Macaca fascicularis: one gene and its partners. The protein of the gene in region 1 interacts with the protein of each later gene in a pairwise test. Links are inferred from orthologs where the notes say so. Each region holds a gene or a part of one and is shown in the gene's direction. Other genes may lie near its edges.

The links.
Region 2: the proteins of GMCL1 (region 1) and KAT5 interact in binary tests that used the Homo sapiens proteins (3 or more experiments, as listed by UniProt). The two-hybrid records come from large-scale screens. The link is inferred for Macaca fascicularis from reciprocal best matches to the Homo sapiens genes GMCL1 and KAT5.
Region 3: the proteins of GMCL1 (region 1) and GLRX3 interact in a two-hybrid assay, tested with the Homo sapiens proteins (2 studies listed by BioGRID and IntAct). The two-hybrid records come from large-scale screens. The link is inferred for Macaca fascicularis from reciprocal best matches to the Homo sapiens genes GMCL1 and GLRX3.
Region 4: the proteins of GMCL1 (region 1) and FOXR1 interact in binary tests that used the Homo sapiens proteins (3 or more experiments, as listed by UniProt). The two-hybrid records come from large-scale screens. The link is inferred for Macaca fascicularis from reciprocal best matches to the Homo sapiens genes GMCL1 and FOXR1.
Region 5: the proteins of GMCL1 (region 1) and APOL6 interact in binary tests that used the Homo sapiens proteins (3 or more experiments, as listed by UniProt). The two-hybrid records come from large-scale screens. The link is inferred for Macaca fascicularis from reciprocal best matches to the Homo sapiens genes GMCL1 and APOL6.
Region 6: the proteins of GMCL1 (region 1) and HYKK interact in a two-hybrid assay, tested with the Homo sapiens proteins (2 studies listed by BioGRID). The two-hybrid records come from large-scale screens. The link is inferred for Macaca fascicularis from reciprocal best matches to the Homo sapiens genes GMCL1 and HYKK.
Region 7: the proteins of GMCL1 (region 1) and SHQ1 interact in binary tests that used the Homo sapiens proteins (3 or more experiments, as listed by UniProt). The two-hybrid records come from large-scale screens. The link is inferred for Macaca fascicularis from reciprocal best matches to the Homo sapiens genes GMCL1 and SHQ1.

The regions. Positions count from the first base shown.
Region 1 is NC_088387.1:52,099,680-52,103,179, reverse strand, and holds part of GMCL1 (germ cell-less protein-like 1), read left to right. Parts: intron 1-850; exon of another isoform or gene 851-881; coding exon of another isoform or gene 882-914; coding exon 915-1,027; intron 1,028-1,908; coding exon 1,909-1,974; intron 1,975-3,500. UniProt on the Homo sapiens protein: Possible function in spermatogenesis. Enhances the degradation of MDM2 and increases the amount of p53 probably by modulating the nucleocytoplasmic transport.
Region 2 is NC_088388.1:8,657,189-8,661,388, reverse strand, and holds the start of KAT5 (histone acetyltransferase KAT5), read left to right. Parts: upstream 1-1,400; 5' UTR 1,401-1,416; coding exon 1,417-1,594; intron 1,595-1,924; coding exon 1,925-1,993; intron 1,994-2,080; coding exon 2,081-2,217; intron 2,218-2,479; coding exon 2,480-2,662; intron 2,663-2,751; coding exon 2,752-2,826; intron 2,827-2,932; coding exon 2,933-3,007; intron 3,008-3,653; coding exon 3,654-3,902; intron 3,903-3,979; coding exon 3,980-4,069; intron 4,070-4,156; exon of another isoform or gene 4,157-4,200. UniProt on the Homo sapiens protein: Catalytic subunit of the NuA4 histone acetyltransferase complex, a multiprotein complex involved in transcriptional activation of select genes principally by acetylation of nucleosomal histones H2A and H4.
Region 3 is NC_088383.1:139,143,082-139,146,303, forward strand, and holds part of GLRX3 (glutaredoxin-3), read left to right. Parts: intron 1-1,664; coding exon 1,665-1,704; intron 1,705-1,791; coding exon 1,792-1,884; intron 1,885-3,222. UniProt on the Homo sapiens protein: Together with BOLA2, acts as a cytosolic iron-sulfur (Fe-S) cluster assembly factor that facilitates [2Fe-2S] cluster insertion into a subset of cytosolic proteins.
Region 4 is NC_088388.1:117,848,819-117,852,865, forward strand, and holds the start of FOXR1 (forkhead box protein R1), read left to right. Parts: upstream 1-1,247; 5' UTR 1,248-1,262; coding exon 1,263-1,344; intron 1,345-2,753; exon of another isoform or gene 2,754-2,876; coding exon of another isoform or gene 2,877-2,937; intron 2,938-3,265; coding exon 3,266-3,340; intron 3,341-3,443; coding exon 3,444-3,691; intron 3,692-3,928; coding exon 3,929-4,047. UniProt on the Homo sapiens protein: Transcription factor which acts as both an activator and a repressor.
Region 5 is NC_088384.1:16,023,175-16,027,282, reverse strand, and holds the start of APOL6 (apolipoprotein L6), read left to right. Parts: upstream 1-1,308; 5' UTR 1,309-1,387; coding exon 1,388-1,617; intron 1,618-4,108. UniProt on the Homo sapiens protein: May affect the movement of lipids in the cytoplasm or allow the binding of lipids to organelles.
Region 6 is NC_088381.1:55,894,907-55,897,972, forward strand, and holds part of HYKK (hydroxylysine kinase), read left to right. Parts: intron 1-2,212; coding exon 2,213-2,673; 3' UTR 2,674-3,066.
Region 7 is NC_088376.1:135,847,341-135,850,840, reverse strand, and holds part of SHQ1 (protein SHQ1 homolog), read left to right. Parts: intron 1-1,536; coding exon 1,537-1,691; intron 1,692-3,500. UniProt on the Homo sapiens protein: Required for the quantitative accumulation of H/ACA ribonucleoproteins (RNPs), including telomerase, probably through the stabilization of DKC1, from the time of its synthesis until its association with NOP10, NHP2, and NAF1 at the nascent H/ACA RNA.

The DNA.
Region 1 (3,500 bases):
AGAGGAAAGGGGAGGAGTCTAGAATGATTTCCAGGTAAGTTGAAAATCCTAATGGAGTCAATGTTTTATTTTAATCTTAAAAAATTGTTTAACTTTTGTGTGGTATTTTTGTACTGATTCATTTGAAATATTAGTTAATAGCTTGCTAAATATCCTTGGTTGAGATCATTTGATTTTCAAAATGTTTTGATCCTTTCAATACTTATTTCCAATAAGTATACTTTATTTTCTAACTCTGGTCCTTTTGATTTTGTTCTAAATTCACTTTCGGCGTTACTTTTATGATTTACTAACTCTTTAACTTAATATACCTGCATGATGAATATATTTCAGAAATTTGAACGAAAATAGTATTCTTTCCATATATTAAAGTTAGTTCGCTTAAAACCTATATAAACATTTTAGGTTAAAACTTTAATGTTCATAATTTAAAATAACAATATACTTGTTTTAGGTGTGTCTCTTAGATATTGTAGTTATTTTAAACTTAATAATTACTTTCTGCTAATGCATACTATTTGTTTAGGCCCATGACATGGTTAACTGACTATGTAGACTTCTTAATTTAAAAAGAAATGGCAAAACAGACAAAATGCTGCTAAAGAAATTTGCAAAGGTCTCAGAGAGGGAAGAATAGAAAAGAAAAAGAATAGCAGTATTCATCTCTACCTGACTGCTCCCCCCACCTTCCATTTTCAAATTCCAAGTATTTAGTTGAATACTTGCTGAATTTTTTTCAGTATTTTTATTGGACTTGTTTAAAAAAAAACACAAAACTTAGGTTTGCTGCACTTAATGAGTTTTCTTTCTTTTCTTTCTTCTTTTTTTTTTCCTTTTTAATATGTAAAAGCACATATCAGAGCTAATTTTTCCCACGTGAAATGGGCCTTTCCAGTGCTTATTTATATTTACAGGACGGTTTAATACAGCAGTGTGGTGAGACAATGAAGGAAACAATTAATGTGAAAACTGTATGTGGCTATTACACATCAGCAGGGACCTATGGATTAGATTCTGTAAAGAAAAAGTGAGTTACCTTTCTCATTTTTCTTCCTATCCCACTTTAGGAATTTGGTTGCTTTAGTTTCTTAAGAGAATGTATAGCTATAAGAAGGAAAGAATTAAGGAAAATTAGGATAGGGGAATGGAATTTTGTTAAATAAAAAGCCCATTTTAACTTTTGGACTAATTAGTAAATTCCTCAAAAGTATTGCCTTTGTCAGTGACCATATGGGTTATATATATGCTTATAAAAACCTTGGTCACTCTTGGTCAGGTGTAGTAGCTAACACCTGTAATCCCAGTGATTTGGGAGGCCAAGGCAGAAGGATCACTTAAGCCCAGGAGATCATGACCAGCCTGAGCAACATAGGGAGACCCCATCTCTACAAAAAATTTAAAAAATTAGCCAGGCATGGTGGCATGCACCTGTGGTCCCAGCCATTCTGGAGGCTGAGGTCAGAGGATTCTTTGAGCCCAGGAGGTTCAAGACTGCAGTGAGCTGTGATCATGCCACTGCACTTTATAGTATATTTTCTATTAAAATTGTTTAAGAAGTAGGCCTGATAGACATTATATCATTGCAATGACTGACAGTCCTTCTAACTCTTGAAAGTTGCAGTACCTGTTTTGAGATTTTAAAGGTTATAGTACTATGCAGACCCCTTGATAAACTATTTAACACAAACTCAAAATGAAGTTTTAAAACTAGAAATGCTCTCATTAATATAAAGGAAATATTCTCTTAATAATATCCACTGACAAAAATAATACTAAATTTCCTATTGTTAAGTTAAAAGTTTTGAGCATGTTCTGGCAAGATTAATATTCTGATTTTAACTATAAGTCCTACTTAATAAATTGTAAATACATGGTATATAATATAATAATTATATGTTTTAATTTCAGGTGCCTTGAATGGCTTCTAAACAATTTGATGACTCACCAGAATGTTGAACTTTTTAAAGAACTCAGGTATTTGAATTTCAAGTAACTTTATAATTAGTCATCCTAAAATATTGTTTATCATTTGTTAAAGTACGTAACATTTTTGTAGAACACAAAAATATGAAAAAGCAAACAATTTAATGAAAGGGCTTGACTACATCCATAAGCTGAAGAAATGCTACACAAACTTATTTCTTTGTTGTGAATAATATAATGGATATTATGTCTACCGTTTTAACCAATTTTAATAGAAAAATGCATTACTGTTATAAGACTATAGAAAAGTTTCAGGTTTTGCCAGACTTTTAGAGAATTTAAAAGGTATATTTTAAAAATCATCTTTATTATTGAGAAATAAGTTTGAAGAAACTGTTTTGGCCTTTTTTTTTTTTTTTAACCTTCAAAAACTTTTCATGTTGATCGGTTTTCTCACTAGAATGAATTCTCTGATGTGGCGTAACAAATGTGTGGCTCCTATAAATGTACATTTTTCCGTCTCTGATTATTTCACTCCTTGAATTCAAATCTGTAATCCCAGCTACTCTGGAGGCTGAGGCAGGAGGATTGCTTGAGCCATGGAGGTCAAGGTTGCAGTGAGCTGTGATTGCGACACTGCACTCCAGCCTCAGTGTGAGTGAGACCCCATTGAGACCAAGTTACCATAGTTCTTCACTGTCACCTCCTGGTACAAGGTCTTCTGAACCAGGTCAAGGTATTCCCACTCCTGATGAGAGAAGTCTATGGCCATGTCCCTGAATGTTACGAATTCGCAGGCCATGGTTTTAGACAATCAAAAGCCAATCAGTCCTCAGGGTTTCTCTACCAGAAAAGCAGATTTAGGAAAACCTAGACCTGTAATCCCAGCACTTTGGGAGGCCAAGTTGGGAGGATTGCTTGAATCTAGGAGTTCGAGATCATCCTGGGCAAGATAGTGACGTCCCCTCTCTTTGAGAAAATAGCAGTCTTCCTTTAAAAAAAACTGTTAGCACCACACAGGGTCCCATGCAGGCTTCAGGCTGGGGCTGCAGAGGCTCCCACAGTCAACTGCACTGCCTTCATCTTCAAGCGGGACCCGGTCGCACACAGCACAGCACAGAGCCAGAGGTCCTGGAGATGGAGCCAGAGGGCCAAGATTTCTCTGTCACCTGTGGACCATGTAGTCCAAGCTGGAATAATAGGACCGCAGTCACCCATGAGAAATGGATTCCAGGGTTCTAAAAACCTACAAGATATATGGCGGTGACAATGAGGACTGCCCACCACCCAAGCTATATAGCAGTCTTTCTTTATTAAAGAGATGGGGGCCTTGCTATGTTGCCCAGGCTAGACTCAAACTCCTGGGCTCAAGCAGTCCTCCCACCTCAGCCTCCAAGTAGCAGGGATTATAGGCACATACCACTGCACCCAGCTTAGTTTGGCTTTTTGGATTAAGTACGCATATTATCCATTTATTCCTGCAGCAAGTACTTCCTAACTGTTCATTATGTAAAGATACTCTGTTTGTGGCTGTGAAGGATGCAGAGATGATTTTGTCATGGTCTCTTGCTGTCAGG
Region 2 (4,200 bases), on another chromosome or scaffold:
AGTGTAGTGACATGATCTCGGCTCACTGCACACTCCGCCTCCCAGGTTCAGGCCATTCTCCTGCCTCAGCCTCCCGAGTAGCTGGGACCACAGATGCCCGCCAAAACGCCCGGCTAATTTTTTGTATCTTTTTTTTTTTTTTTTTTGTAGAGACGGGGTTTCACCGTGTTGGCCAGGATGATCTCAATCTCCTGACTTCGTGATCCGCCCGCCTCGGCCTCTCAAAGTGCTGGGATTACAGGCGTGAGCCACCGGGCCCAGCCGTTTTGTCCAATTCTTTAAGATGCCAAGAATCTGGACACCCTCCACCAGTGACATCTTCACAGTTCTGAGGAGTATTCATGGGGTATTTTGTAGAATGTTTCTCAATTGGTATTTGTCTGATCTTTTTCTCATGATTAGGCTGGAGGTAGCTGGGATTTCAGGTGTGAGCCACCATGCCCAGTCTCCAAATCCTGTTTACGCAAAAATTTTTAAAAATTAGCCAGCCTTGGTAGTGCGCGCCTGTAGTCCCAGCTACTCAGGAGCCTGAGGTGGATCACTTGATCCAGGGAGGCGGAGGCTGCAGTGAGCGGAGATTATGCCTCCCCCGCTGCACTCCAGCCTGGGCGACACAGACCTTGTTTCAAAAAAAAAGCCTAATATGGCTGGGCGCCCTGGCTCACGCCTGTAATCCCAGCACTTTGGGAGGCCGAGGCGGGCGGATCACGAGGTCAAGAGATCCAGACCATCCTGGCCAACATGGTGAAACTCCGCCTCTATTGAAAATACAAATATTAGCTGGGTACTCTGGAGGCTGAGACAGGAATATCGCTTGAACCCGGGAGGCGGAGGTTGCAGGGAGCCGAGATGGCGCCACTGCACTCCAGCCTGGCGACAGAGCGAGACTCCGTCTCAAAAATAAAAGAAGCCTAATACACGAAATAAAGCTAGAAATCTTCCCTGAGTCCTCCTGCCTACGGAATGAAGTCCACAGACCTGGGGGAGCGTTCGAGCCCCTCTAAGCCCAGTTCCTTTCTCCAGCCTCTCGCGCGCAGTTCACTCCCGACAACACCTCCCGCCGCCACAAGGAGACGCCCGAGGACTGCCCTCCGTCAAAGCCCAAACGGTATTGCCACGTGACCCGCTCCGCATCCACGTGAACAGCGTCGCACCCGGTGGGCGTCACGTGACAGACTCAGTAGTTCTCCAATCGCTGTGCACGTTGTGGGGTTTCCACCTAGGACTCGGCCTGAGGCTTGTAACACTTCGTTTTCCCAGGAGTCACAGGGGCAGTCTTGCCCCTTGCAACTGGGTCGCGGTGACTCTCAAAGGTCCCCCTCTACAGGGGCTTCGTGAGGCCCGGGCCTACAGCGGGCTCGGTCCCGGAAGTGACGTCTCCCACAGGGGCCGGAAGTGGCAGTGGAGGGAGGGAAGATGGCGGAGGTGGTGAGTCCGGTGCCCGGGGCGGGGCGGAGGGAGCCAGGGGAGGTGGGTAGAGCCCGAGGCCCCCCAGTAGCCGACCCTGGCGCCGCGCTGTCTCCCCAGGGGGAGATAATCGAGGGCTGCCGCCTACCCGTGCTGCGGCGGAACCAGGACAACGAAGATGAGTGGCGTGAGTGACGTTGGGGGGCGGGGCTAAGGAACCTGAGGGCGAGGGGCGGGAGGGAGTCAACTGAACCCCCGGGATGGGGAGGGGCCTCTGGAATTATGGGGCGGGCGGGGCGCAGATACTCCCATGAAGGGGCGTGGCTCTTAGCTGCTCCGAGAGGTACAGGGCGGGGCCTGGAAAGCGGTGCCAGTAGTGACTGAAGGAGGCTTAGGAGAGACCTTCTAAGTGCTGGAGCTTAGGGATCCGGCCTTGGGGTGGAGTTCAGGTCGTGGAAGGGTGGAGTCTCAGCCTGGCCCGGCCCGTCTAAGGCCCCTGCCTATGCTATTCCCATAGCCCTGGCCGAGATCCTGAGCGTGAAGGACATCAGTGGCCGGAAGCTTTTCTACGTCCATTACATTGACTGTGAGTTCTGGGCCTGAGGTGGGGCATCAGGGTAGGGTTGGGGAACAGTCTTTGGCATTCTGTCCTGAGCCATCCCCACTGCTGCAGTCAACAAACGTCTGGATGAATGGGTGACGCACGAGCGGCTGGACCTAAAGAAGATCCAGTTCCCGAAGAAAGAGGCCAAGACCCCCACCAAGAACGGACTTCCTGGGTCCCGTCCCGGCTCTCCAGAGAGAGAGGTGGTGAGTAGGTCCCCCACTTCACCTCTTCTCTCCTGCCTCGTGTTTCTCTTATCTGTTGGCATTAGGGGCTCCTGGATGGGCAGTAGGCGGCTCCCTCTCACCCTGACTTCATCTTGCAAAGGATGGGGGCCGAATTGCACATGTAGCTCCCAGAGTCCAGTAGCTAGTCCTGTGTCCTTCAGAAGGCGAGGGTGGGGTTTGATAATTTTGAGCTGAGGGACCCCTGTTCCCCTTCCCCATTCCACTGCCATCCCCGCCCCAGAGGAAGACCCTGGACCTATCTCTACAGCCGGCCTCGGCCCAGGCAAGCGGGAAGACCTTGCCAATCCCGGTCCAGATCACACTCCGCTTCAACCTGCCCAAGGAGCGGGAGGCCATTCCCGGTGGCGAGCCTGACCAGCCGCTCTCCTCCAGCTCCTGCCTGCAGCCCAACCACCGCTCAACGGTACCCTCAGCAATTCCAGGGACCTTGCTTTCTTCTCAGGTCCCACCTTCTCTACCTTCTGACCCACCTTTGTTGGTTTCTCTCTGCAGAAACGGAAGGTGGAGGTGGTTTCACCAGCAACTCCAGTGCCCAGCGAGACAGCCCCGGCCTCGGTTTTTCCCCAGGTGAGTTTCCCAAACCATTTCTTGTTCCCTTTCTCTCTTCTACTCTCTGGTGGCCTTTTTCAGGCTCATCTCACAGCCATCCCTTCTTTTACTACTATATCTGCAGAATGGAGCAGCCCGTAGGGCAGTGGCAGCCCAGCCAGGACGGAAGCGAAAATCGAATTGTTTGGGCACTGATGAGGTGGGTCTGGGGAGCAACAGAAGGAGCTGGGTGAAAAGGAAGGGATGCAAGCAGGATGGAGAGTTAGTGATGAGTTTAAAAATAAAGAAGGGGTGGTAGGCGGGGCTAGTGTTGGTGGGATTAGGAGCCAGGCAGAACATGGTTCAAATGAGTCATTGGGGCTGGGTGCCATGGCTCATACCTGTAATCCCAGCACTTTGGGAGGCCAACCAAGGCGGGCAGATCACCTGAGGTCAGGAGTTCGAGACCAGCCTGACGAACATGGTGAAACCTTGTCTCTAATAAAAATACAACAATTAGCCAGGCGTAGTGGCAGGCACCTATAATCCCAGCTACTCAGAAAGCTGAGGCAGGAGAATTGCTTGAACCCCGGAGGTAGAGGTTGCAGTGAGCCAAGATCATGCCACTGTACTCCAGCCTGGGCAACGGAGTGAGACTCCATCTCAAAAACAAGGGTCATTCAGTGATCTTTTCCACATCATCAATCCCTTAGGGTTTCAGGTTTTTTATCCAGAAATTGGGGATCATGGTACCTCCCCCATAGGGTTGCCGTTAGGCTTGCAGGAAACCTGTCAAAGGGCTGTGAGCTGTGGTGTCCTGCTGAGCTGTCTCTTCTAACCTGGTATTTTCCACTGGCCCTGGGCAGGACTCCCAGGACAGCTCAGATGGAATACCATCAGCACCACGCATGACTGGCAGCCTGGTGTCTGACCGAAGCCACGACGACATCGTCACCCGGATGAAGAACATCGAGTGCATTGAGCTGGGCCGGCACCGCCTCAAGCCGTGGTACTTCTCCCCGTACCCACAGGAGCTCACCACATTGCCTGTTCTCTACCTGTGCGAGTTCTGCCTCAAGTACGGCCGTAGCCTCAAGTGTCTTCAGCGTCACTTGGTATGAGGGGTCCAGGGAAGCTGCCTTCCCAGCACTCTCCACGTTGCCCTTGTTCCTGACTGTCCTCTCTTCTCCAGACCAAGTGCGACCTACGACATCCTCCAGGCAATGAGATTTACCGCAAGGGCACCATCTCCTTCTTTGAGATTGATGGACGTAAGAACAAGGTTAGTGCCTGAGAGGCAGTGGGGCGCTGGGGTGAGTCAAATGACATCTTCTTGCTCAGGTAAACACTGACCAGTCAAGCCAGCAGATCAGTTCACCCCATTTTTATTGAGTTCCTGCTGTCTTGCAGGTG
Region 3 (3,222 bases), on another chromosome or scaffold:
CGACACACTGGGCCTGACCCAGCTCATGTCTGTGGTAGAACATCTTGGTAACTTGGCTTTCTGTCCCATATCTGTCTGATCTCCATTGTATTGAAAGCACCCTGTTGTCGCAGAGAGCAGGAGGCTACTTTGGGAGAGAATGACTCCCAGCTCTGGACTTGCTAAGCATGATTGGCTCTAGGATGAGTGAGGCCATCCAGGACCTCAGCTTCTTTTAACGTGAACAGACCATGCTCTTGTTTGGAGTCAAAGTATGTGGAGAAAACTCCTTTTTACTTTTTCTCATTTCTTATCTTTTCCTTTAGTAGCCAAAATACACATGCATGAGTGGCTGAGAACCAAGTGTATATTGAGGTTTGAAAGGTACCCTTTATGAATAACTCTTAGGAAGTGTATTGACTGTTAGGACGCCACATACATACACTTGGGCCCAGTGCTTCCTGGATCCTTTATGAATAGTTTTATAACTCATTGTTTTTATCACAGTATTAAGAGATCTGCCACCTTTAGTTAGTTCAGCTTGAACAAAGACTTACATTGGGTTTTTAAAAAAACATTAGGTTTACATTGGGGTCCTTTTTTGCTCTTCTTTCAAACATTCCTTTTTTGGTAATTGCTTCTGATTTATCCTGTCATTTAGTTTTTTGTTTTTTTTTTTTACTGTTCCCTGCACCATAGACAGTTTCCTTGGGAACTTGTTTACTAAATAAACAAGATTTCCCTGTGATGGTTTCAGTTTTATGGAAAGTCTAGTTTTTTTTTACATGTAGCATTTTCTTTGACCACCTTTGGGAATTGCACCTGTACCCTCAGGCACCCTGCAAGGATTTAGGCATACATGCTTGCTAATACCTGACCACCTAACGGTGAAATCACTCTGAGTAGATACAGTTGGACATTCATGCAGTGATTTTTCTTTGTACGAGTAATGTTCATTGTACGGCATAAAGCCACAAAGCTTTCATTGGCCTTTTGTACATTAAAAACAGCGCCCTCTCTGAAATAAGTTTAAGTGTGGAAAGCATGTCTCCTGCTAAGGTGGAGGGAACTGGCAGCGTGGTTGTCATCTGGCTGCTGAGCCCTCCAGCCTCCGTCCACAAGCACTACTACTTCCTGCTCCACGGGCAGCTTCCAGGAGGTTAAGAAGCAGCAGCTGGGGGTGGATTAGATATTAGAAGTGGATGAGAGTGTTCAGTTAATGAAGGCTTGTGCAGATGGGGATGTGGGTCTGACCCAGGGGTTGGCAAGTTGCAGGTGGCTGCCCATTTTTGTAAATAAATTTATATTGGCACATAGCCACATCCCTTCATTTATATGTTGTCTGTGGCTGCTTTTGTGCTGCCCAGCAGAACTGAGCAGTTAAAACAGAGACTGGCCTCTAAAGCCTGAAGTGTTTACTGTCTCACTCTTTAAGAAGACGTTTCCCCATCCCTGGTCTAACCCAATATTGTCTGGAGAAAAATCTAGATAAAGTCGTATCTTGGAATGACTAATTCTGTGTAGTACCAGACAGATTAAGAAGTAAAATCATTTCCATTGGTCTGTAGTACATTTTGTTAGCAACAAAATAGTTTTCTTGATTATTTTAAAAACATCAAATGCATAGAGGTTTTACAATTTGATTTAACTGTATTTCCAGTTAAAATGTCTTCTCTTTCTTCCAGTGTTGAATATGAAACATTCGATATATTGGAGGATGAAGAAGTAAGTTCTGTGTCTGATGTTTCACCTTTGTCTTAGCTTTAATCATAAGGGCCTGACAGGATGGTTTCCGGACTCTTGTTTCTTTAGGTTCGGCAAGGATTAAAAGCCTACTCAAATTGGCCAACGTACCCTCAGCTGTATGTGAAAGGGGAGCTGGTGGGAGGATTGGATATCGTGAAGGTAAGTCAGTTCTTCTGCTCTTCTAAAGAACGGAGAAGACTTTGGTGTGTTTAAAAATGATTTCATATTGAATGGAAACTTGAGAGTTGTTTTTGACTCTTGTTTCCAGCCTGACTCTCAGGCATTTCTAGACCAGTATCACCGTTTCTGTGTGCATAAGTACCCTGCCATTCTCACTGTCCCCACCTGGCAGCCGGTTCTTACTTCCACACCTGAACTAGCCATTTCATCCCCTTTCTGTGGGGTGATCTTACCTGCCACTCAGGGTCCTTGTGAGATCCTGCTTCAGCTCCCAGCCAACAAATTATTTTTTCTTGCGTTACTCACCTGCCCTTGGGTGCATGGACTGACAGCAGTGTGAGGCCTATGGCCCAATGCTGCCCATCCTTGCCACAGAGGCTGAAGATCACTGCCCCTGGTCCCCCGAGAGAAAAAATGTAGGTCGCTTTTTGGTTTTCAGATGTTTGGAAATCTGTTATCTGTTAGATTGTAAGTGTTTTAGAGAAGACACCATTTCTTATGTATCTTGAGTCCTTCCTGATGCTTTGTGTATTTTAGGAGTTCAGTAAATGGTTGTTGGATGAATAAGTGACTTTACTTCTTGCTTGAGTTTTAAATGGACATGACTTTGCTCATATTTAATGTCTAGAATTTAGGGCAGGCCCACCAACTAGCACCTGTGTGCTCCATAGCTCTTTGATTAGCCCAAAACAGTAAACAGAAGCTGTAGCTTTAATATCTACCCACAGGCCCCACTGCACCCCAGGCCCACTGTGGGCATGGTGGTATCGAGGAGGGTGGTAGCCGGGTGGGTATAGAGAGGAGCTAGACAGGAATGTTGGGCAGGAATGCCAGGTTCTGCTCGGGGACAAGAACAAAACTGCCCCAAAAGGTGGGCTGCCGACTGCCCTCAGACCTTCCTCTTGCCTCAGTCCATTAGAGAATTTTCTGTGAGGTCAGATCTTCCGACTTTTTATGTGGAAAACAAATAGCAAGTAGTACTACTTCTAGTTATGTTGTAAAATAAATTTTTTTTTTTTTTTTGAGACGGAATTTCACTCTTGTTGCCCCGCTGGAGTGCAATGGTGCAATCTTGGCTCACTGCAGCCTTTGCCTCCCAGGTTCATGTGGTTCTCCTGCCTCAGCCTCCTGAGCAGCTGGGATTACAGGCGCACACCACCACGCCCCACTAATTTTTGTATTGTTAGTAGAGATGGGGTTTCACCATGTTGACCACGCTGGTCTTGAATTGCTGACCTCAGGTGATCCGCCCGCCTTGGCCTCCCAAAGTGCTGGGATTACAGGCGTGAGCCACCGCGCCCGGCCAAAATAAAAGTT
Region 4 (4,047 bases), on another chromosome or scaffold:
AGTAGAAGTCAGACTCGCTGGAGAAGAGTTCAATAAACAGCAAAGATCATGTTTTTGTTTTCAAAACAAGGTCTGGCTTTGTTGCCCAAGCTGGAGTGCAGTATCGTGAGCTTGGCTCACTGCAACCTCGCCTTTCCCTCTCGAGCCATCCTCCCACTTTAGCCTGCTGAGTAGCTGGGACTACAGGCTCACACCACCACACTCGGCTAGACTATTATCTTTGTATTTTTTGTAGAGATGGGGTTTCACCATGTTGCCCAGGCTGATTTCAAACTCCTGGGCCCAAGCAATCCGCCTGCCTAAGTCTCTTAAAGTGCTGGGATTATAGGCATGAGCCACCACACCTGGCCAGCAACCAAGATTTAAGGCAGGAGTAGTGTTGGAGAGTGACAGTAAGTCAGGAGCTAAAACAGGAGGTCAGTAGATGATAGTAACAATGGAGATTGATTAGTATATAAGTTCCTGTATTAACTTGAAAATATACATCCAGGAGCAAACAGTAAGGTAAATTGTAGTCCTGCCTCATTGCTCTTAACAAGGGCTGCTCCAGTTGATACTCAGAACTGCAGTATAATAAGAGATTCTATTTCTTTGCATGTTTCTCAACACTTGGTATTATCTTTATAACTCTAGTCAATTTGATTATCTCATTATCTTACAGTGTTTTTCTTATTAATAATACTGATCATCTTGTTAGCCATTCAGTTATCCCCTCCTTGTGAATGCTGATTCATATCATTTGCCCATTTGTAAGTTTGTGTTGACCTTTTACATACTGATTTGTAGGAGCTCTGTATATATTAGAGAACTGAGAAATTTGGGTTGAGGCCGGGCGCGGTGGCTCATGCCTGTAATCCCAGCACTATGGGAGGCCAAGGCGGGCGGATCACAAGGTCAGGAGATCGAGACCATACTGGCTAACATGGTGAAACCTCGTCTCTACAAAAATACAAAAAAAATTAGCTGGGCGTGGTGGCAGGTGCCTGTAGTCCCAGCTACTCGGGAGGCTGAGGCAGGAGAATGGTGTGAACCCGGGAGGTAGAGCTTTCAGTGAGCTGAGATGGCGCCACTGCACTCCAGCCTGGGTGACAGAGCAAGACTCTGTCTCAAAAAAAAAAAAAAAAAAAGAAAGAAATTTGGGTTGAAGTTTGCTTTTTTTTTTTTTTTTTTTTTTTTTTTTTTTTTGCTTATGGTGATTTTTACTATGTTTGAACGTTTTTTAAGAGAGTCTTGCTCTGTCACCTAGGCTGGAGTACAGTGGCATGATCTCAGCTCACTACAAACTCTGCTTCCCAGGTTCAAGTGATTCTCCTGCCTCAGCCTCCCAAGTAGCTGGAACTACAGGTAAGCGCCACCACACCCGGCTAATTTTTTGTACTTTTAGTAGAGATAGGGTTTCGCCATGTTGGCCAGGCTGATCTCGAACTCCTGACCTCAAGTAATCCACCTGCCTTGGCCTCCCAAAGTGCTGGGATTACAGGTATCAGCCACCGCACCTGGCCAAACTTTAATTTTTGTACTATAATATGTGCATAAAACTTATAGATTCATTTTAGGGTAACTGGCATCTTAATAGTATGTATTATAAGTCTTTGTTCAAGTCTTTTAAGTTATTTATTTCAGGCCGGGCGCGGTGGCTCAAGCCTGTAATCCCAGCACTTTGGAAGGCCGAGACGGGTGGATCACGAGGTCAGGAGATCGAGACCATCCTGGCGAACACCGTGAAACCCCGTCTCTACTAAAAAATACAAAAAACTAGCCGGGCGAGGTGGCGGGCGCCTGTAGTCCCAGCTACTCGGGAGGCTGAGGCAGGAGAATGGCGTAAACCTGGGAGGCGGAGCTTGCAGTGAGCTGAGATCCGGCCACTGCACTCCAGCCCGGGCTACAGAGCGAGACTCCGCCTCAAAAAAAAAAAAAAAAAAAAGTTATTTATTTCAGAGCTGAGATGGGAGGATTGCTTGAGCTGGGAGGTGGAGATTGCAGTGAGCCAATGTCACACCACTGCACTCCAGCATGGGCAACCAAGCAAGACCGCGTCTCAAAAAAAAAAACCCTATGTTTATATCTTTTGCTACTTTTTCCTTTTTTGAGTACTATGTTGAATATTAGCAACCTAATAGGCATCCTCTCTAATTAAGCTCTCCGATAAGTATGTCATTTCCCAAACAAAAGCCTAGATTCATCTGTAATATAATGACACTCATAGTGACAGTGAGGGGGCAAAAATAGTTTTTGTCCTGAACAATCAGTTAATGGTGGTGCCACTTGCTGAGACAAAGAATACAGGAAGGCTAGGCATGGTGGTTCACGCCTGTAATCCCATTTTGGGAGCCTGAACAGGAGGATTGCTTGAGCCCAGGGGTTCAAGACCAGCCCAGGCAACAACATAGTGAGACCCTCATCTATACAAAAAATACAAAAATTAGGCCGGGCGCGGTGGCTCATACCTATAATCCCAGCACTTTGAGAGGCTGAGGCTGGTGGATCATGAGGTCAGGAGTTAGACACCAGCGTGGCCAATATGGTGAAAGCTCTACTAAAAATACAAAAATTACCCGGGCGTGGTGGCAGGCACCTGTAATCTCAGCTACTCGGGAGGCTGAGGCAGGAGAATCACTTGAATCCGGGAGGCGGAGGTTGCAGTGAGCCAAGATCACGCCACTACACTCCAGCCTGGGTGACAGAGCAAGACTCCATCTGGAAAAAAAAAAAAATTGCAAAAATTAATGGGGCGTAGTGGCATGCACCTGTAGTTCCAGCTACTTGGGAGGCTGAGGTGGGAGAATCTCTTGAGCACACCACTGCACTCCAGCCTATGCAACACAGCAAGACCCTGTCTCAGAAAAAAACAAGAATACAGGAGGAAGAGCAACAAGATGGAATTCAGTTTTAGAAGCCGTCTGAAGTGCCTGTGGGCTACCCAAGTAAAGATATCCAGTAAGTAGTTCTCCTTAAGGGCTAGCACAGAATGCTAGGCTAGAGGTGAAGATTTGAGAGCTCTACATTTTTTTTATAGATGTTAACTGAAGCCACGGGCATGCAGGAGATCAATTCAGGGACAGTATATGTAGAGTGAGAAGAAAAGAATGCAGAGGGGAATGAGAAGGTCAGAGAGGTAAAGGGAAAACCAGTAGAAGTACAATGTGATGTTAACTCCCCAGGCAAGGCCCACAATACCTTCTCCCAGAGAAGCCTTAATGCCTAGGATCCTAGGGTCACAAAGGGATATCCTAGGATGTTTTGACTCTCTCTTTCTTTTTGCCAGTTGCCAGGTATAAACTCCGAATTGTTAAGCCACCAAAATTACCCCTAGAGAAAAAACCCAACCCTGATAAGGATGGTAAGTATTGAGTTCTCTGACCTGTTTCTGTGACCTGGGCTGGAGACCAAGGGCACCCAAAGCCAGTGGGCTGCGGCACACAATCTCCTTTTGTTCTGCACAGGTCCAGATTATGAACCCAACCTCTGGATGTGGGTAAACCCCAACATCGTGTATCCCCCTGGAAAACTGGAGGTCCCAGGACCTAGGAAGAGGGAGGATCTGACAAGCACACTTCCCTTGTCTCAGCCACCACAGAAGGAGGAAGATGCCAGCTGCTCAGAAGCCACAGGGGTGGAATCACTGTCCCGGTCCTCCAGCAAGTGGTCTCCCCCTCGGAAGCGCTTTGCCTTTTCCCCCAGCACCTGGGAGGTATGGATCTCTGGGGGTGGGAGCCGGACTTGGGCAGTAGGTGAGGGGCATGGGGAAGAGCCATCACAATTCTGCTCTCTTAGCCATAGCAAAAGGCGAATGGGTTCAGAAATTACCTTCATGCTTGGGTTGGGGAGAAGCCCAGATGGTGGCCTTAGACCACCCCCCCTTCCTGCCACTGCACCCTGGAGTAGAGGCTGAGGAGTCAGGACCAGTTCCTACTCTGTGCTCCTCTAGCTCACAGAAGAGGAGGAGGCTGAGGACCAGGAAGACAGCTCCTCTGTGGCTCTCCCATCCCCTCACAAAAGGGCCCCCCTCCAGAGTCGGAGGCTTCGGCAAGCCAGCAGCCAGGCGGG
Region 5 (4,108 bases), on another chromosome or scaffold:
TCAAGGTCAGGCTGTGTTTAGAGTGTTCTCCAAGTGTGGGAGGCCACAGCAGGGCTGGCTTGTGGAATCTGGGATGCCAGGGTTGGAAAGGCCCCTACAGGACCCAACTCAGCAGCGCTTAACCCCTCATTCTTGCTCGTAGGGCCAAGGGAGAGGAGGTGGCCTCCATCGTCGCAAAGGCAGGACTGGCTAGGTGGGCCACGCCTTCTGCAAAGCAACAGCACCCAGTGTGGCCTCAGCTAGGGGTGGTGACTGGGGATTTCTGCAAACCACGTGACTTCTGATCACAACTTGACAGAAATGCTAGAGAGACACAGATCTCAGCCGGTAACCACACTGTGGGCTCATTCTTGCAGACACAGCGCCTAGGACTGGTTCTTAGCTGTGTAATCACTAACTTCTAGAAGCCTGAGTTTCCTCTTCCTTAAAGTGGGAGACAGAGTATCACATCCTGTATCTCCAATCCTTGAGGCCATATGCATGTCAGAGTTCCCAATTAATTTTTAGAAAAGTAATGGGGTTCAGGTATCACGTACTATGTAACCCACCCACCCCCAGCAGCCCTCCTCAGTCAAACACATTAATATTTTTGCAGTGACAGTGAATATTCAAATTAAGCAAGAGACATAAAAACCATAAGTGAATTCATGCCAGATCAGGTCAGGTTTTGCCACTAAATGAATAAATTATTTATTTTTTTTAAGTTTTTGTTTTCAGGCCGGGTGCAGTGGCTCACACCTATAATCCCAGCACTTTGGGAGGCTGAGGTGGGTGGATCACTTGAGGTCAGGAGTTTGAGACCAGCCTGGCCAACATAAAACCCCATCTCTACTAAAAATACAAAAATTAGCCAGGCGTGGTGGCAGGCGCAGGTAATCTCAGCTACTGGGGAGGCTGAGACAGGGGAATAGCTTGAACCCAGGAGGCGGAGGTTGCAGTGAGCCGAGATCGTGCCATTGCACTCCAGCCTGGGCAACAGAGCAAGACTTCATCTCAAAAATAAAATAAAAAATAAAATAAAAAAGTTTCCATTTTCAGAGGATTCTGCATTTCAGAGTTATTAGCCCTTAAATGCCGGCCGTGCACCTCATAGGGCTGTTATCCACATCAAGATGCTGTGGAGGGAAGCAGTTTCAGAACAATCAGTGATGATCGCTACTGTGAATCCACTATTCATCAGGTGCCCCATCGCTTGCTCATGGGCTCCTCACCATAGCTCTAAGCCACAGGAGCTATTTTCATACCCCATATAGGTCCATCCTATAACACAGCCAGGACAGAGACGAGAGACTCAGGCCTTCTGACTTTGATTCTGCTCTTTCATCTTGTTGTGCATGCAGTTAGAGAAACAGGCAAAAAGGAAAATGAAAGTGCACAGCTGGAGCCCATGATTTCCTGGAAGAGCCCGAGAGTTTCGCTTTTTTTATTCCTGCAGCACTTAACAGAAACCAGTTTTGCAATCAATTCCTGTTCAAAAGCCACCCTACAGTCTTTCTCCAGCCCAGACGCTCACAGCCTCCTGCAGGACCGGGGGCCTCGGAGAGTCAAGGACAGAGGTTCAGGATCTTCCTCTCCCTCGGGACCCGAGGCCACAAAGGAGAGCTCCGTGGAGAGAAGGTGAGATGGCAGGCAGAAGTTGGGGGAGAAGGGGGCTGCTGCTCTAGTCCCTGAAGGACAAAGCCCCCAAGGGGTTAGCTTTAGGCACCTGACTCAGGAGAAAGAGCTGCTGTCCAAGCAGCGGGGTTCAAATGCCAGCCAGAGCATGGGGAGAGTCTGAGGATCAATTTCTCCTATGTTAAACCCGGTAGGTTTCTGTCCCTTACAGCCATTTGAGGGTTAAATCAAAACGTGATAAAGCATGTGATGTGACTAGCCAAGCTGCATTTGCCCCTCCACTGCTGGGGATCCAAGGGCTTAAGCAGAGGTGATCTGGCAGTTAGAAAGCAGGTGATTTCAGCTGGGCGCGGTGGCTCACGCCTGTAATCCCAGCACCTTAGGAGGCCGAGACGGGCGGATCACGAGGTCAGGAGATCGAGACCGTCCTGGCTAACACGGTGAAATCCTGTCTCTACTAAAAATACAAAAAATTAGCCAGGCGTGGTGGCGGGCGCCTGTAGTCCCAGCTACTCAGGAGGCTGAGGCAGGAGAATGGCGGGAACCCGGGGAGGCGGAGCTTGCAGTGAGTGGAGATCGCGCCACTGCACTCCAGTCTGGGCGACAGAGCAAGACTCCGTCTCAAAAAAAAAAAAAAAAAAAAAAAAGGAAGAGGGTGAGGGAGTTTGTGATAAATATTAGGGTGACTAGGCCAGGCGCAGTGGCTCATACCTGTAATCCCAGCACTTTGGGAGGCTAAGGCAAGTGTCTTGTTTGAGCCCAAGAGTTTGAGACCAGCGTGGGCAACATAGTGAGATCCTGTCTCTAAAAAAATCAAAAATTAGCTGGGCGTGATGGTGCACACCTGTAGTCCCAGCTACTGGGTGGATAGGGGGTTGCTGAGGTGGAAGGATCACTTGAACCCAGAAAATCAAGAATGCAGTGAGCAGTGATCACACCACTGCACTCCAGCCTGGGCAGCAGAGTGAGACCCTGTCTCAAAAAAAAAAAAAAAAAAAAATTGGGAGATTATCTTGAAGCTGTGTTTTCAAAGTAAGCAGACTTTTCTTACTTAGATTGTGTATCTGAAGAAGCTGGTTTTGTGGGGGAAGGCAGGTAAGGAAAGACTGTCATAAATATCCTATAAGCTTTCAAATGAAAATAATGTCTCAAATCCTCTCCCAATACAACTCTCATCTCACAACCACCGAGAGCAGGTCAGAGGGGAGGGAATGGGATCTGCTCAGATGAGTTTCCTGCTGTTACCTTTGCCCTGCATCCCATAGGACTAATGTAAAAAAAAAATGGGAGAGGTACTGGGGGACTCTGGTGAAAAATGGGGTTCCAGACCAGGGTCTCTCACCCCCGGCACCCTTGTCATGTTTAACCAGGTGATCCCTGGTTGTGGGGGCCGTCCTGTGCATTGTAGGGTGCTTGGCAGCATCCCCGGCATCTGCCCACTACATACCCTCTCCAGCTGAGACCATCAAAAATGTCTCCAGATATTAGCAACGTCCCTGAGGAGCAAATGTACCCTGCTTGGGACCGACCACTCCAGACTCAGCGTGGCTGGAATCGTACAGGCTCTCCTGCTTACTGTGTAACACTGGCCTCCCTATGTCTCAGTTTGCACATCTGTAAAATGGGCATAATCTTAGCATCGATTTCACAGGGTCACCGTAAAGCAGGTAGATGTATGTCTGGCGAAAGTAAGTCCTTAAAGGTGCCAAGCCCCTCAAACCAAACCGAGCTTCACATCCCAGAGTGGGGAGAACGTTTTTATCTTTGACGCATTAATTCTTTTTCATAGACTGCCCCAAAGAAATAAACAAACATGTAGACACACATCTATATAAGGATTTTAACCAAAAATTATAAATACAAACTTTTAAAATAACTGAAAACAACCCAAAGTTTCAACAGCGAGAAAGTTACTGAATGTGTAGTGATACATTCGTATAATGAAATGCGACACGGTTTCTATATATCACCTGGGGAACTACTACCATACAATGTTTTTTTTTTTTTTTTTTTGAGACGGAGTCTCGCTCTGTCGCCCAGGCTGGAGTGCGGTGGCCGGATCTCAGCTCACTGCAAGCTCCGCCTCCCGGGTTCACGCCATTCTCCTGCCTCAACCTTCCGAGTAGCTGGGACTACAGGCGCCCGCCACCTCGCCCAGCTAGTTTTTTGTATTTTTTAGTACAGACGGGGTTTCACTGTGTTAGCCAGGATGGTCTTGATCTCCTGACCTTGTGATCCACCCGTTTCGGCCTCCCAAAGTGCTGGGATTACAGGCTTGAGCCACCGTGCCCAGCCCCAATGATACAATGTTAAGTGACAAGAATTCACACAAACTACATGAACAGCATTCATTTAAATTTTTGGTTTGTAAAATAAAATGTCACTAGTTTTTATTTCCATGTGGTGAGTGTACAGGTGGATTTTATAATCTATTTCTAAATTTTCAACCATAAACTTGTATTCAAACAATTAGAAAATGAATGGCTATAAGAAT
Region 6 (3,066 bases), on another chromosome or scaffold:
GTGCTTTAAAAGAAAGTGTATTCTGCAGTGTTGGGTATGAAGTTATATATGCCCATTATGTCAAGTTTATTAATAATTTTTAAATTTTCTGTAACTTTCACTTACATTTTGGTCTGCTTTTTTTTTTTTTTTTAACAATTATTGAGTAAAGTACATGTTAAAGTATATTTTAATCTACTATGATTGAAGATTGCCTATTCTTTGCTTGTATTTCTGTCAAATTTTGCCATATATATATATGTATATAAATTTTTTTTGAGATAGAGTCTTGCTCTGTTGCCCAGACTGCAGTGCAGGGCTCACTGCAATCTCTGCCTCCCGGGTTCAAGTGATTCTCTTGCCTCAGCCTCCCGAATAGCTGGGACTACAGACGCCCACCATCACGCTGGCTAAATTTTGTATTTTTAATAGAAACAGGGTTTCACCATGTTGTACAGGCTGGTCTGGAACTCCTAGACTCAAGCAATCCACCTCGTTGGCCTCCCAAAGTGGCCAAAGGGATTACAGGCATGAGCCACCACGCCCAGTCAAATTTTATCTTATATATTTTTGAGTCAATTATATAATATATCCCAATTTCAGAAATACATACTTTAAAATCCATGATTTACAATAATATTGTTTCTGTGTGCCCACTCACTATGTTACATTGCTTAAGCATGATTTACACAATCCTAAATCATATAGAAAAAGTCAGCATTATAATTAAAAGTTAAAATTATATACTTTATATCATGTATGTGCTTCAGGGCTTCATTGACATCTCTTACTAATCTTTAGTCAGTGGCTTAAATCCGTGCTTCTTAGACTATCTATGGTAAAAGACAAGTGTGGGTTTTTTCCCCCAACCCATTACAGTCTGGCATATGGTCCTACTATGCAAGATTCGCTTACAGTTCGTGTCACATGCAACTAACCACGGGAGTTTGACAAAACTTTAACTCCTATACGCTCCGTTCAATGAGACAAGGCCACTGATCACACTCTTGGATGTCATATGACTGTAAAATTTTCTAAACACTCTCAACTCTGTTCTTATCTCTTGCAGACTAGTAACATTTTGTAGACCAGTACTGGCCACAGACCCCACTTTGAGTAGTACTGACTTAAAATATCACCACCAGGCCAGGCGTGGTGGCTCACGCCTATAATCCCAGCACTTTGGGAGGCCGAGGCGGGCAGATCACGAGGTCAGGAGATCGAGACCATCCTGGCTAACACAGTGAAACCCCGTCTCTACTAAAAATACAAAAAATTAGCTGGGCATGGTGGCAGGCGCCTGTAGTCCCAGCTACTTGGGAGGCTGAGGCAGGAGAATGGCGTGAACCCGGAGCTTGCAGTGAGCCGAGATCGCGCCACTGCACTCCAGCCTGGGAGACAGAGAGACTCCGTCTCAAAAAAAAAAAAAAAAAAAAAAAAAAATATATATATATATATATATCACCACCTATTTCAGTAATCAAAAAATGGGAAATTTAGAATTACCACATTATCAGAAAATTTTGTTTAAAATCCTAGGTGAGGCCAGTCATGGTTGCTCAGGCCTGTAATCCCAGCACTTTGGAAGGCTGAGGCGGGTAGATCATTTGAGGTCAGGAGTTCGAGAGCAGCCTGGCCAACATGGTGAAACCCTGTCTCTACTAAAAATATAAAAATTAGCTGGGTGTGGTGGCACACGCCTGTAATCCAGCTACTCAGGAGGCTGAGGCAGGAGAACTGCTTGAACCCAGGAGATGGAGGTTGCAGTGAGCCAAGATTGTGCCAGGGTACTCCAGCTGGGCAACACAGTGAGACTCTATCTCAAAGAATAAAAATAAAATAAAATCCTAGATGAAAATAAAGGTAAATCTGGTTCATTCTAGGACTCTTTGTTTCTTCTAACAATATGAATATGTTTCTATTCTTTTTAAACATTTCTGGGTTTGAGTAGTTCTTTTCACTTTACTCTTTTAATAGCCAAAATCAGGTATTTGTAGTGACTGCAGTCTCCATCTTCTGGCCTTGTATTGATGAAAAGCAAAACAACCACCCCAAATTAACTGCTTTTATTATTTTCAGATGAAATTATTTTACTTCAAGAAAAATAGGGCTTGGCCCTTTATCTCTGACTGCTCATCAAATTATCTGAATGGCTTTGCCTATGAAAGAGAAATGGAAGGGGAATAAATTGGAATATTCAATAACTATTTTTATGTGATTTTTCTATTTTCAGGTATCAATCATGGAGATCTTAATGACCATAATATTTTAATAGAGTCCAGCAAGTCAGCCTCTGGAAATGCTGAATATCAAGTGTCTGGGATTTTAGACTTTGATGACATGAGCTATGGCTACTATGTGTTTGAACTGGCAATTACCATCATGTACATGATGATTGAAAGCAAAAATCCTATACAAGTAGGAGGCCATGTCCTTGCAGGGTTTGAAAGCATCACCCCACTGACAGCTGTAGAGAAGGGTGCTTTGTTTTTACTTGTATGCAGTCGTTTTTGCCAGTCACTTGTCATGGCTGCATACTCTTGCCAGCTATACCCAGAGAACAAAGATTATTTCATGGTTACTGCAAAAACTGGGTGGAAACACTTACAGCAAATGTTTGACATGGGTCAGAAAGCTGTAGAAGAAATCTGGTTTGAAACTGCCAAATCCTATGAATCTGGGATCTCCATGTGACTGAGATCTCCATGTGATTTTAACGTGGGTAATTAAAATAGGGCCCAATCAAATTTTAGGAAGGATTTTCCTGTATAGTTAAAAATCAATTGATGGAATGGATCAATTCTGAATATGACAGAGCACATGAAATCCCTAAGGTCTTCAAGCAATCTCATGACAATTTTTTAAAATTCACAAAAGTACCACGAGCAAGCATATTTTTCTGTGAGTCTCACTTGCCATGTCTATAAACACATATGATACCATTTTGAATCAGATAATCTCACAAGATCTATTCCAGTCCTGAGATTAATGACTGTTTTTAATTTTTAAAATAATATATACATACAGATATATTGACATATTTTAAATATCTGGACATAACATACTGACCTAGATAACATACTAGCA
Region 7 (3,500 bases), on another chromosome or scaffold:
CTCACATGATTGTTGGCAGAATTTAGTTCCTCGCAGATACAGAACTGAGGCCCCTACTTTGTTGCTGGCTGTCAGCTGGGGGCCACTCTTCGATCTTAGAGGCCCCTACAGGTCCCTGCCATATAGCCTTCTCACAGGCTCTCTCACTTCACCGTGTGACATTTCTTCAAAACTAGCAGGTGAGTCCCTGGCTTTGGTCTGCTAATAATGGAATGTAATCATGGAAATGACTGTCCCATTGCCTGGCTATATTCTGTTGGATAGATGCAAGTCACAAGCTCCATCCCCACATAGTGATATGACTCATTGGAGGTCATCTTGGAATTCTGCCTGCTCTACTCAATTTATTAACCTGGAAATGATTGTAAAAAAGCTATTACATTTCTTGCCAGGGGAAGGTGGGAGGTATGTGTAGGAAGAGGAACTTCTATTCATGACTGTGAGAAAGGAGAGTTATTGTAGCCTTTAAGTAAAGTATCTTTCTAAAACAGATACTTTTTTAACCCAGTCAATCCAGTCTTGAGAGTCTACTTTATGGAAATAAAGCCTCTAATATCCAAGGACATAGGATAAGGATATTTATTGCAGCATTATTAGCAGTGGCAGAAAGCTAGAAGCAACGTCAGTGCCCATCAGTAGGGGGAGTGGTTGGATAGAGCATGGTACGTTTTGGAATATTATACTCCTTTACAAAAATTAGTTACACACCAGTTGACTTTTAGGGATTTGCCAGAGGTATTGTTGAGTGAGAAGGGCTAGATGGAGAAAAATGACCTAGTTATTTGGGTCAAGGGAGGGCGTAGGAAGTACAAACTCCCTAGTATGTATGCTTGTGTGTCTGTATATGATTACATGTCTGTAGAGAAAACTATGGAATGGTATATACTAGATTTTTAGTGGGTGAGAGGCTGTTGACGAATATTCAGGTGGAGAGAGGGTGCCAAGCAAAAGAAGAAAAGGAAAAAGGAACCGTGTTGTAAAGAAACAGTCTCGTCCCACAAGTCTAATGTATGTGATGTGGTCATATGTAAAACTTGATTTATATGGTAGACAATATGAGATTTTAATGGATTAATTTGAATTGAAATTTAGTTTAGTTTAAATGTAACAATTTTAATTGATTAATATCTGGGAATATTCCTATTTCTTGGTATAGAACTTTCAAATGGATAATGAGTATTTTCAGTGTACTTTAGCGCTTTCTGTTGTCAAAATGTGTTATCTTAATTTTAAAGTCAGTAACTGGCATTCAGACACCTTAAGTACAGAACAGTGTAGCAAAAAAGGGAGGGTTGGGAATTAAGGATTAGGTATTATTTCAAAAAATCTTTATTCAGCCCTATTAGGATTTGAGCAGACTCACAGCTCTTACTAAAACTGTGACGTCTACTTAAGTTATTTATATATCCAGAGTTAAGTAGAAATAACTTTTATTTCAGTTTCTATAATCAAAGTTCTAATTTTGACAAATCTTCCACATTGGGGGATTTACAAAAATGAATGAAACATCTAATTTTTAAATGCGTTTTCTTCTAGTGTCTTTTTCTGAAGAAGAGAAATATCAGCTACGAAAATTTGTCAATAAATCTTATCTGCTGGACAAGAAAGCCTGTCGTCAAGTGTACTACAGTTTGATTGATATCCTTTTGGCATATTGCTATGAAACCCGTGTCACGGAAGGAGAGAAGAATGTAAGTGCTTGTATGTGTGCGTGTTGCCATAGATGACTGTGCTGAGTAAACTGCATTAAAGCATCAGTCTTTCTTGTCTAGAGTAGAACTGGTGGTGATTAGTTATTCAGGGGATGCCCCCGGCAGGGTTGCGTGTGTGGGGTGGTGGTGGTGGGTACCCACATGCAATCATACATTGCTTAGTCGGTCTTTTTCAGTTTTCTCTTGGGATTAGTCTCTGCAAAATAGCAGAGTAGGGAAGTTTAAGGGAGTAAAGCTGAGAGTAGGGAGGAAGGCTACTCTGAGCCCTCATCTCTTTTAGGCCAGAGAAGTGCTCTGTCACATGACACTTCACATTGGCCAGGGGGTAAACTACCATACCCATTTATATTCTTTCTCTCAGCCAGAAGTCAGCAGATGCAAAATATGGCATTTTACAAAATAAAGAAATCTTAGTATTTACCTGCAAGTGTCCCTCAATTCATAGAGTATGTGGATTTCTGAAAAATTATATGTAAGTCAGATTTTTTAAAACCTGAATTATATCTTTTTTTGCTATTTAAATGGATCATGTTATAAAAGTATATCTTTTTGTAAATTATTTCTTAATCTTTTAAAAAATAATATAGACTTTATTGTATTTCTTCTTAAACCATATTTGATGTTGTAAACTTCCTTTTCACCTATACCATTGATTGTGTATTTAAAAAGGCTGGAAACCAAAAAAACAGCCTTTCTAGTTAGTGTGGTGCTGCAGCTGTTTATAATTGTCCTCGCTCTAAAGGTTATTTTTGATCTGAGCATAACTTTCCTTTTTTGAATTACACAAATCATTTATATTGTAAAGGAAAATATACAAACGAAGGAAATAATTAAGATTTCCTGTAATTTTAGTCATGAGAAATAACCGTTGTTACGTAGCGATGTATCTATTTCCAGTCTTCTTTCAGTGTGCACATGTGTCTATATTGTGTGTATTTACCTTGGGTCCTAATGTATATACTATTTAACCTGCTTTTTTCACTCAACATTATGGCACTAGGATGGTATTAGAGTTAGAATTTTCTGTGTACCAATTTTTTTGTTGTCATGATTCTGAAAATTTCTAGGGTGACTCTTGACGTTTGTGTCTGACTCCAAGATGACTATTAATTGAGTGTGCTAAGGCTACTTAATATATCTGAAAATACTTTTGGTTTTCACTCATCTTTTAAAGATACTGTAAATGGAGAAAATGTTTTCTTTGACAAAAAATGCTTCATATTAAATCTTGAAAAGATGAGTGTTTAGGTATACTTGAAAAAATTTACCATTTTTTATTCTTGTATTTGTGTATTTAAAATCATCAAGTCTTACAACTTGAGACCTCCTCTAGAATGTGCTTATTCTCACCAGCATTCTCTGAAAGATCAAATTTTCTAGCAGCTTCTTAAGTGCCACAGGTAATACTTCAACATTATCTTTGATTCCTTTGATAGATTATTTATGGATTGTTTGGGAGGCATGTAACTTAGTTGAAAAAGGACAGAAATTGAGCAGGGATTACTTTGCTTTAACTTTTAGTTTCAAAACCCCTGGTTATTTGCTCTTGTGTTCTGGTACTTTTATCAGTAGAAAAGTTTTATTTTCAAAAATCCCAAGTAAAGTAAACAGAAACTTCCCACTGATAGTCTCTGCATCAGCAAAATAATTATTTTTCTATAGTTGTGAACACTTCTTAGTTCTCATATGTCAGTGATCCTCAGACACTGGTTGAAAAAATGGATTTCTTTGGTTTGTTTAAATGACTTTACCTTTAATGTGATGGTACTCTTTTCTCCAAAACAAATA